2 linked regions of the Daphnia pulex genome follow. The protein of the gene in region 2 purifies or fractionates together with the protein of the main gene of each other region. This does not show direct contact. Links are inferred from orthologs where the notes say so. Each region holds a gene or a part of one and is shown on either strand. Other genes may lie near its edges.

Region 1 (4,581 bases), about 320 kb from region 2:
ATTTCCTGATTTTGGCTTTTATTTCGACCTTTATTATTAGAATGTATCCTTGTAAACGCTGGTGTTATGTATTGAAATTACGAAATGCTGTAAAAAATATCACTAGTGCTCTTTCCTCCCCTATCCCACCCCCCTTGTAAACATGATTCATGTACAAAAAAATCGTCCCCTCCAGAATTCGCTCTTCGACATCCCACATCCGCTTCCTTCCTCAAATCCTTTTTTTCTGGAAAATCAACGCTTCTCTCTTTCAATCTCTCCATCGAAAAGACAGTTTTCCTTTTTTTTAATATTAAATTCTGTGGTTGGAAAAAAGACAACACCTCCATATGTATTTCCGTAATAGCACACACTCTTTGTGCAACCGACTTTACCCTCTTTCATTTTTGAAAAAAAATACATCCCGAATATATGCGTTGGAATCTTTTCTTTTTGAATCTTATTCGATGGGCTGAAATAAATTGTGATTAAGACGAATAACTCAGGAAAATCAACAAAAATAGGTAAATGAAAAAAGGAGTGTATTTTTTTAAATTGGGCCAATTGCGCAAAATTTAACAAAGGCAGGGAGTGAAATCCGAGTATCGAAAACTAATCAGACGAGCTTTTGCTTTTACTTCTGTCCCTCTTTGAGCGCTTGGAGGAACGCTTATGAGAAGTGGGACTCCGACTCCGACTTTTACTGCCTCGGTGACGACGTCTACGATCACTACGGTCTCTTTCTCCTCGGTCACGATCACGATCTCTTTCCCGGTCACGGCCACTTACACGCTCTTTGTCCTTATCCGAGCGTCGATCCCTGTGTAAGTTGAACGAAATATATCAATTGCATTTTCAGAAGAAGCTCGTCAACGTTTGATTTTCCTCTTACCGTTTGTCGCGATCTCGGTCTCTATCGCGGTCACGATCCCTTTCTCTGTCTTTGCCTCGATCCTTTTCCACTTCTTTTTCTTTTTCTCGGTCGTCTTTAGGGGAGCGACTGCGCGAGCTACGGCGCCTTCGACTGCTGCTGCTTATCCTATTTGCAAGGAAGAGCTAATCAAATGCTGTACGGAGATCGAGTACCACTTATATACAGTACCGAGATTCTTCTCCAGGAACAGGAGGGGTCCCCAGGCTCTCTCTTCTTTGCTTTCCCGGTGGGTTCATTCCCATTGGTAGTGGTATTCCCATAGGTGGTGGTCCTCTCCAGTCCTAAGAGGAAAAAGTTATTTTTATTTTGTTTTGTTTTCTGTTATGGTCTTTAAAATCCTTACCGAAGATCCCCACTGTGAATCCTGAGTAGGTTCGTATTGGTAATAATCATCGCCAGGAGCTCCTGGGCCAGCCATGAACTCATTGGCGTAGGGATCAGGTACTATAGGTGGTGGTGGTAACATCATTGGTGGTGGAATTACTGGTGGCGGCATACCAAATGGAGGAGGTAGAGCCATATTTGGAAAACCAGGAGGAGGACGTGAGAAATCGATCGATACGGGAGGTTTCTCCACAGGAGCTTCAGGCTGATATTAAAATGAAATTTAAATAATAAACTTTAAAGTTTTTTGGTTGACTTTGGATGAATATTTTATTAAGGATACGGGGCCTTACCACTTCGGGAGGTTGCTCCTCCATAGAAGGAGCAGGTGAAACGCCTGATTCTGGTCGGCGTGAAGATAGATTCCCTCCACCAATGACATCAATGGCACCAGCCATTTTGCGTGCTGGCGGAGGGCCTGCTTTTTTCACAACCACTGACCCCGCATATTTTGAATTTTCGTTAACCACTGATATCGGAATCGCTTGGGCCGGGGTCGCCATCATCTGAATCAAAAAATAATAATATCGTCTTTGAGCTTCATTTGTTTACGTATTTTATTACCTTGGGTGGGGGTCCTAATCCAAGGCTAGCCGGAACACCAGCCCCAGACTCCATACGGGATCGCCTTTGTCTCTCACAATATGCTTGCCACGTTATTTCATTGAAACCGTAATTAAAATAATCAGTGATATCAGCACCAGGCTTCCTCCAAGGTTTATCTTCCAGCGAATCCAAACTAAATTCATGTGCTGGTACACCGTTAATCGCCATTGAGCCTTCGAACTCTTCCACAGTGAACTTAAGATAAGATACATATGTTAAAAACAAACTCTTGCATCAAACATGATGTAGCTCAATGTATACTTTGCTCTTTTCCCCCAATCCTTGTGCCGTTGTTCCAGCTGTTCCTCTTTTGACATTAAAACCAGCATAAGCTGCTGGGCCAGATTTTATGTCACCAATCGTGATTTGTACGTCATCATCACTTTCATCATCCTCATCGTCATCATTGTCTTGATCTTCATCTTGTCTCTCATCCTTTTCTTCGTTAGTCTCTGCAGCTTCTTCTGGATCTTTTACAATAGAAAATACAGGATGTTAAAACTGTTATGGGAAAACCAGACAAGCGATTCAACACAGGGAAAGAGACAAGGGATAATAGTTGAAGAACTTTTCCATAATTAAAAATGTACATGAAATTACCATAGCCTTCTCCAGCGTATTCCGTATTTCCGTCATTTCTGTCTATGGCAATATGATCTTCATTTTCGATTTCGTACATTTCTCCATTACCGGTGGTGTCTTGGTCGATTTTTCCATCATCGCCCTGAAAAAAAAAGAGACAAGTATCAATTTCAGTTGACGAACAATAATTTTTTTTTTAAACTCACGTATTCATCTGGTAACTGTTCCGAGGAATAAGGGAATTGTGAATTAGAATTATCTGCCTCATCTGGGTGCCGGACAGTGTCGGCCATATTCGGTTGTAAACAGCAGAAGACCCCACTTCAATTTAGGCCTGAGGGGACAAACAACAGCGAATGTACGCTTGTGGCTTGTCGGCTGTCGCTGTTTCACATCAAACGCAAAAATAAGGTATTTTTACTATAAAAACTTGTGATAATCCATTTTTATAATGATCTCGTTATATAAAAAGACGCTATTAGGGACAAAATTCAACTTTAATTTGGGTTAGACGTAAGTGTGCAACTTGGCAACACTTCACCCGGCAGACGTGCATTTACGTTTGGTTCGTAAATTTATTTGTTAAATTTTATTTGAGCCGAGTGGCTGCGAGAAAATTCATAAACAAAATGGATAAAAGTATAGGGAAGAAAACTGGAGACATTGTTTTGGTAATAATACATTGTTTTATATTGAAGTTGACTAATAGGTTTTAACAATATGTCTTCTGTCTTTAAAGTGTGAAGAAGATTTAGCGTATGAAGAGGAGATTCTACGGAACCCTTACTCTGTCAAACATTGGCTTCGCTATTGCGAGTTCAAAAAGGATGCCCCTCCTGTTGTTGTCAATTTGATTTATGAGAGAGCTTTGAAGGAAATGCCTGGCAGGTTCGTTTGATTGGTTCTTGTAGTAGTACATAGTAAATAAGTTTGTACTCATTTTCAACTATCCACATGTTTGTCTCTTCACAGTTACAAACTATGGTACAGTTATCTCTGCCTAAGAAGGAAGCAAACTAAAGGTCGCTGTATAACAGATCCACTGTATGAAGATGCCAACAATACTTTTGAAAGAGCATTGGTATTCATGCACAAGGTATCTTAAATGCCAATTATATTATTATCACACATTATTAAATACCATGTTTTTAATGAATACCATAGATGCCAAGGATTTGGATGGACTATTGCAAGTTTCTGACTCTTCAACAGAAGATTACCACTACGAGAAAGGTCTTTGACCGTGCTCTAAGAGCCTTGCCAATCACCCAGCATTCCAGAATTTGGCCCCTCTACTTGAAGTTTGTTAAAATGCATCCAATACCAGAAACAGCTGTTCGAGTTTTCCGTCGTTTTCTTAAACTATCGACCGAAGATGCAGAGGAATTTGTCGATTACTTAAAATCTATTGACAGACTTGATGAGGCAGCTGTTAAACTTGCCCAGATTGTGAACAAGGACAGCTTTGTTTCGAAGACAGGAAAATCAAACCACCAACTGTGGAATGAACTGTGCGAACTTAATTCGAAAAATCCCAAGCAAATTAAAAGTCTTAACGTGGATGCAATCATTCGAGGAGGTCTTCGACGGTGAGTGTCTGGAAAAAAATTAAATGCAAATATTTTTACAAACATAGGAATAATTTACTGGATTCTTATGTAGGTACACTGATCAACTTGGCCAGCTTTGGAATTCCCTTGCCGATTACTATATTAGAAGTGGTTTGTTTGAAAGAGCAAGAGATATTTACGAAGAAGCCATTCAGACAGTTACTACAGTACGAGACTTCACACAGGTAAAATACTTTGTGGTCGTCTTATTTAATGCGAATCAAGTTAACGTTTTTCTGATTTACGACAGGTGTTTGATGCCTATGCCCAGTTTGAAGAGTTGAATTTGAATCATATGATGGAAGAGATTGGTCAGAAACCTAATCCTACAGAAGACGATGATATTGAAGTTGAGTTGAGGATGGCCCGCTTTGAGGATTTAATGGATCGCCGGCCCTTGCTATTGAATTCTGTTCTTTTACGTCAAAACCCCCATAATGTCGCCGAGTGGCATAAACGAGTCCAGCTTTATGAGGGCAAACCTCA
Region 2 (4,545 bases):
ATTAATAAAATTAACCAAAGAGATATTCTGATAAATTCTGATTACTTTTGTTGAGGAGTAAATTTAGTGTGAGTTTTGTCTTCTGTGGGTCGACTTTCTTCGGTGTTGGTATCACCGTAGAGATAATCTTCTTCGTCATCCATTTCCCTTAATTGAACAGAGTTTATCAATATTTCCTTCCTAAATTTAAACTTAAAGATATCTAGCGTATACTTTTTAGCATTTAGAGATTTGTTGGCCGTATGCAATTTCGTGGTTTCCGGCGAATCCGTTTCCGGGATAGTTGTGTTAAACAAACCACTAATGTCACGGTATAAACAGACGCAAACGACAGGAGAATTCTGAATCAAGAAAATGTTAAATTTCACATTCTTCTTTAAAACACTAAATTTCCATTCTAACCTTAGAGAGGACAGGAAAAATCATTTCGAGTTGAGATCCTTCGACAAATGTAAGAAGACCGATTCGACCATTCTCAGTCAAAACAGCAACATAGGGATCCGAAGCCGATGCCGAAGTTATAAGGAAGTCGGAGTCCATTACTAATTCCTGAAGAACGGTTGCAGCGGCATCAAGTAAACGTACGCTTGTAGGGCAAACTTGAACAATAAATCTATTATTTCCTAGATTTGCTGCCAAAATAGTAGGGCTAGTCACGTTAAACCCTGATTGATCCATTTCATTAATTTCTTGTCCGGTTTGTAAAACCTAATAAGAGAAAAAAAATTATTTACCGTTCAATAATTTAACACGCCGTTTATAACAATAATATTAACCATTGTGGAATCAGCTCGTGAAAGTAGCAAATATGTATGCATAATAGCGTCTTCATTATTACGCGAAGCAAACACAGTGAACATGTCACTCACTTCAGGGAGCTCAAACGTCGTGACAACCTGGATTTCAATTTTAAAGATAAAATTTTAAATATTATTTAAACAAAATAGGAAATTATTTCTAATGTCAGTTTTAACCTGTGGTTTCATTGTACGCTGTAGCACACAAATAGCTCCATTCTTTCCATAACCAGAAGTAGTAACAATTTCAACATCAGGATCTGGACTCTTTTTATCAAAATCAGTACAAGTTGACGCTGGTTCACCTACTGCCATCTAAATTTCCATAATTTATCTTGATTAAATTGACAGTTCAGACAAAGTTATAAAAGTATTACCTGTCCACAAGGTCCAATATTGAGGAGGCTGTCACAAACCTCAAATTGATAACTAATGGCCTTACTGTCAGTCGACTCATGATCTTCTCCATAGAGGTAGTTGTCAATCTCCTCCTCGTCTAAATGATCCAATTCCTTGTTTCAATAGAAATTTTGTAATCTTTTTATTTAGGAATAATATTTAAACAATAAATGTATTGTCTACCTGATCAAAGAGCAAACTGAATTGCTCCATCTTAGGTTTCTTTGCAGCGAAAGGAGTTGCATACTGGTTGTAGTCTTTAGTCTGAAAGGCCAAGAGCAACGAATTGCCAAGCCGTGAGCCGAGAAACAAGTAGTTATCGCAGATGCATAGACAGGTAGTCAAGACACTGGCGGCGGCTTTCTCAAGATGAAACTTGCGTACGGACCGCATACTGTCGGCAAACAACGTTAACACGTATAGTTCGCCACCCTTCAGTGAAAGGACAACTCGGTCGTACTGCAAGAAGGCAGCTCGAGCACAGTCAAGACCTATCCTCGAGCCTTCGTACGGTTCTATTGCGATTGAATTTTATTAATAATAATTTAACTATAAAATAAATCAGAGGCATCTACTCACTCAAAGGGAAGCTGGTGCAGTGGTCCGCAATGCTGTTGACAGACACTCCGTAAGGGGGAACGCTTTGATTTACATAAATGACTGAATTAACCGCCATAATTAAAGCCCCACCTAATGGCTTGGGAACCGGTAGTAATTGAGAGCAATCAAATGGAAGACTGTTCAATGACCAGATTATCGGATGGACACGCTGCTGAGTGTTTAACGACACAGCTACCATATTACAAGTATCCTGGCGGACTGCTATTCTTCCTGGAAATGTTCCTACTGGCTCATAGAGGATGATTAAAGTGGGCTCATAGTAGCCATGTAAGAATTGCACATCAATCACATTGTCCACTCTTTCTTCAAGATCTGTAAGCTTGATAATATACGAAGAAAGAGTAACATTGCTATCATGAGCAGAATCCTTGCGAAAAGGGAGAATAGCTAATGTGTTGCGAAAAATTAACAAAGCAGCACATCTTCCTTCAGGATCCACTCGAATTTCTGGTATTTTGTGGTTACTCCCTATTCCTTCATCTAAAATTGAAACAACTATCATTATTCTGGGTCCATGTAAGCTTTGCACAAATTTATTACTTGCCTTCAAAGTTGTGAAGTGATAATGTTTTCAGGTTATCAGACACAGGGTCATATTCAATAAGACTAAGCTTGGCGTGAGCGAAGCTCATTAGTATTGTATCTTGAGACGATCCTGGGAGACTGACTGCAGCAATTGACATAACTTTTCCAAACAAATTGTAAGATGCTAAGCATTCTAACTTCATTTTGGGAGGTTGGCCATCAGCGCTTTCTTTCCGTAACATTTTTTCATCTGTATTTGGAATAAGCCGGAAAACTCGTAACACATTTGCACCGGCAACCACCAAGTTCTTTTCTTTTCCGCCATAGAAACGGCAATATATCGCATGCTCTACGCTAGTTGCAGGATATGATTGTTTGAATAACGAGAACATTGTTATCTCTTTTGTTGTTTACAAAATCAGTTTTATTTCAAATACTGAAACGTTTTCATTACAATAAATGAGAATAAAAGTTCTAAAAATTTTGACATTCAGCGTTATTTTCGTCCGCTGTAAAGCTTTCAACGTTGACAAATCGAATATTTTCCATAGAACATGTATGTCGGTTCTTTTCTATTTTACGGTCATTCATAAATTGGCCTATTGCTCGTTTAAATTTATCTCGTTCATTGAATTTAATTATGATTCGTGAATTGCTCAATTTGATGAAATTCTGCGAATTCCTCTAATAAGAGTCCGGCTCCGGCAACTTGCAAAAGTTTGCCACTGGCACTGGGGGAAAAGAAATACAAGATAAACTAGCAGACAGCTTTGTTGTAAACTGAAGTAATAAAAACGGAAAACAACAACTTTGTGGGCTTGTTTTTGTTTTATTGTTTGCTACTGCTGATTCTCAAAATAATTTTATTCAAGATGGACAATCAAGTTTGTTTAAGGTGGAACAATTTTCAATCAAGTTTAACTACGACATTAGAGATTCTGTGGGACGAAGAATCCTTTTGTGATGTGACCCTGTTTTGCGGAGGACAAGAAATTCGAGCTCACAAAGTTGTTTTGAGTGCTTGCAGTATGATATTTAAAAGTTTGCTTAAAAATAATACTTGCCGACATCCAATAATAATTCTGCATGATATTAGTCTAAATATTTTAGAAGCTATTCTACAGTTTATTTACAAAGGAGAAGTCAATATAGAACAAGATCAACTAAACAACCTTCTACGAGCAGCAACTTTGTTGCAAATTAGGGGTTTGGCTGGGATTGCAGAAAATGAAGTTGATTTAGAAAATCAGCTCTTAAGCAAACCAATGAAAACTGGTCTCAGTCAGAATTTTCCAAGTTCTGATTTCAGCCCTGTCAAGAGGAAGAAGCCCAAAGTCTCATCATCACCAAAAGATAATGACGCTGAACCTCTTTTGGTTACACCTAAAGAAGAGCCATTAAGTGAAGAGGAAACATGTGGCAGTGCAATTTACACTGATGAAGTTTATGAAAGACCTGATAGCTTAGTTGTATTGGACAGAAAAGAGGAGGATGAGTGCAGTCATGGTGTTATTGATGTTGACCCTTTAGTTACAAAGTCAACCAATATGCCATCAGCTGTTAACTCTTCTGTTGAAATGATTTCTAATTCAAGCCAAGGTATTGTCATAACATTTTTGCAAAATGTTTAATCGAAAGTAAATTTTTTTTTTCCCCGAAATTTTCCAGCGGTTGCCTGTAACAACATCCAGTTTCCTCCCTATCCTTGCCCTTTCTGCTGTCGTGCTTACGCTACCTGGGGTTTCAGAAGACGTCACATCAAAGCTATTCACACTACGAGTCCAAAGTTACCATGCAAGTGGTGCAGCACTGTTATGGCGTCGCGAGGAGACTGGGAGAACCACGTCATTGACGAACATCACTTGAGCCGATCTGAAGCTGAACAAGGTCTCAAGGTTTTGGAAGAAGCACACATGGTTCTCCAAACTACAAACATTGCCGACGATGTTCTCAAAGAAACTGCTGACCGTTCGTTTAGATCTAAAGATAAAAAGTAACAATTTTAAAACTACTGTGTACTGGTATCTCAGCTAACTAAACTCTTATCCATAAACGGACAATCTGTAGTCAATCAAGCGACGGAAGTCTAATAATCTTTTTGTGTGTGTGCGTTTTACACCTCTTTATTATGAAATGGTATTATTATGAATCTTTTAAATATTTCAACTTGACTGATCTTCCCAAACCGTTTCTCTTCTACTGT

The links.
Region 1: the proteins of cleavage and polyadenylation specificity factor subunit 1-like (region 2) and pre-mRNA 3'-end-processing factor FIP1-like fractionate together in Homo sapiens (co-fractionation; 8 studies listed by BioGRID and IntAct, with this or other methods). This does not show direct contact. The link is inferred for Daphnia pulex from reciprocal best matches to the Homo sapiens genes CPSF1 and FIP1L1.

Annotation. Positions count from the first base shown.
Region 1 is NC_060020.1:2,901,615-2,906,195, forward strand, and holds pre-mRNA 3'-end-processing factor FIP1-like, read right to left. Parts: upstream 2,852-4,581; 5' UTR 2,779-2,851; coding exon 2,692-2,778; intron 2,628-2,691; coding exon 2,504-2,627; intron 2,374-2,503; coding exon 2,165-2,373; intron 2,099-2,164; coding exon 1,862-2,098; intron 1,804-1,861; coding exon 1,591-1,803; intron 1,503-1,590; coding exon 1,257-1,502; intron 1,195-1,256; coding exon 1,082-1,194; intron 1,019-1,081; coding exon 872-1,018; intron 800-871; coding exon 592-799; 3' UTR 505-591; downstream 1-504. Other genes in the region: pre-mRNA-splicing factor syf1 homolog, read left to right, coding at 3,115-3,156, 3,225-3,373, 3,458-3,581, 3,650-4,074, 4,148-4,280, 4,346-4,581.
Region 2 is NC_060020.1:3,223,038-3,227,582, reverse strand, and holds the start of cleavage and polyadenylation specificity factor subunit 1-like, read right to left. Parts: upstream 2,865-4,545; 5' UTR 2,735-2,864; coding exon 2,362-2,734; intron 2,298-2,361; coding exon 1,776-2,297; intron 1,712-1,775; coding exon 1,380-1,711; intron 1,310-1,379; coding exon 1,175-1,309; intron 1,113-1,174; coding exon 975-1,112; intron 897-974; coding exon 777-896; intron 709-776; coding exon 403-708; intron 342-402; coding exon 214-341; intron 148-213; coding exon 46-147; intron 1-45. Other genes in the region: modifier of mdg4-like, read left to right, coding at 3,215-3,941, 4,011-4,339. UniProt on the Homo sapiens protein: Component of the cleavage and polyadenylation specificity factor (CPSF) complex that plays a key role in pre-mRNA 3'-end formation, recognizing the AAUAAA signal sequence and interacting with poly(A) polymerase and other factors to bring about cleavage and poly(A) addition.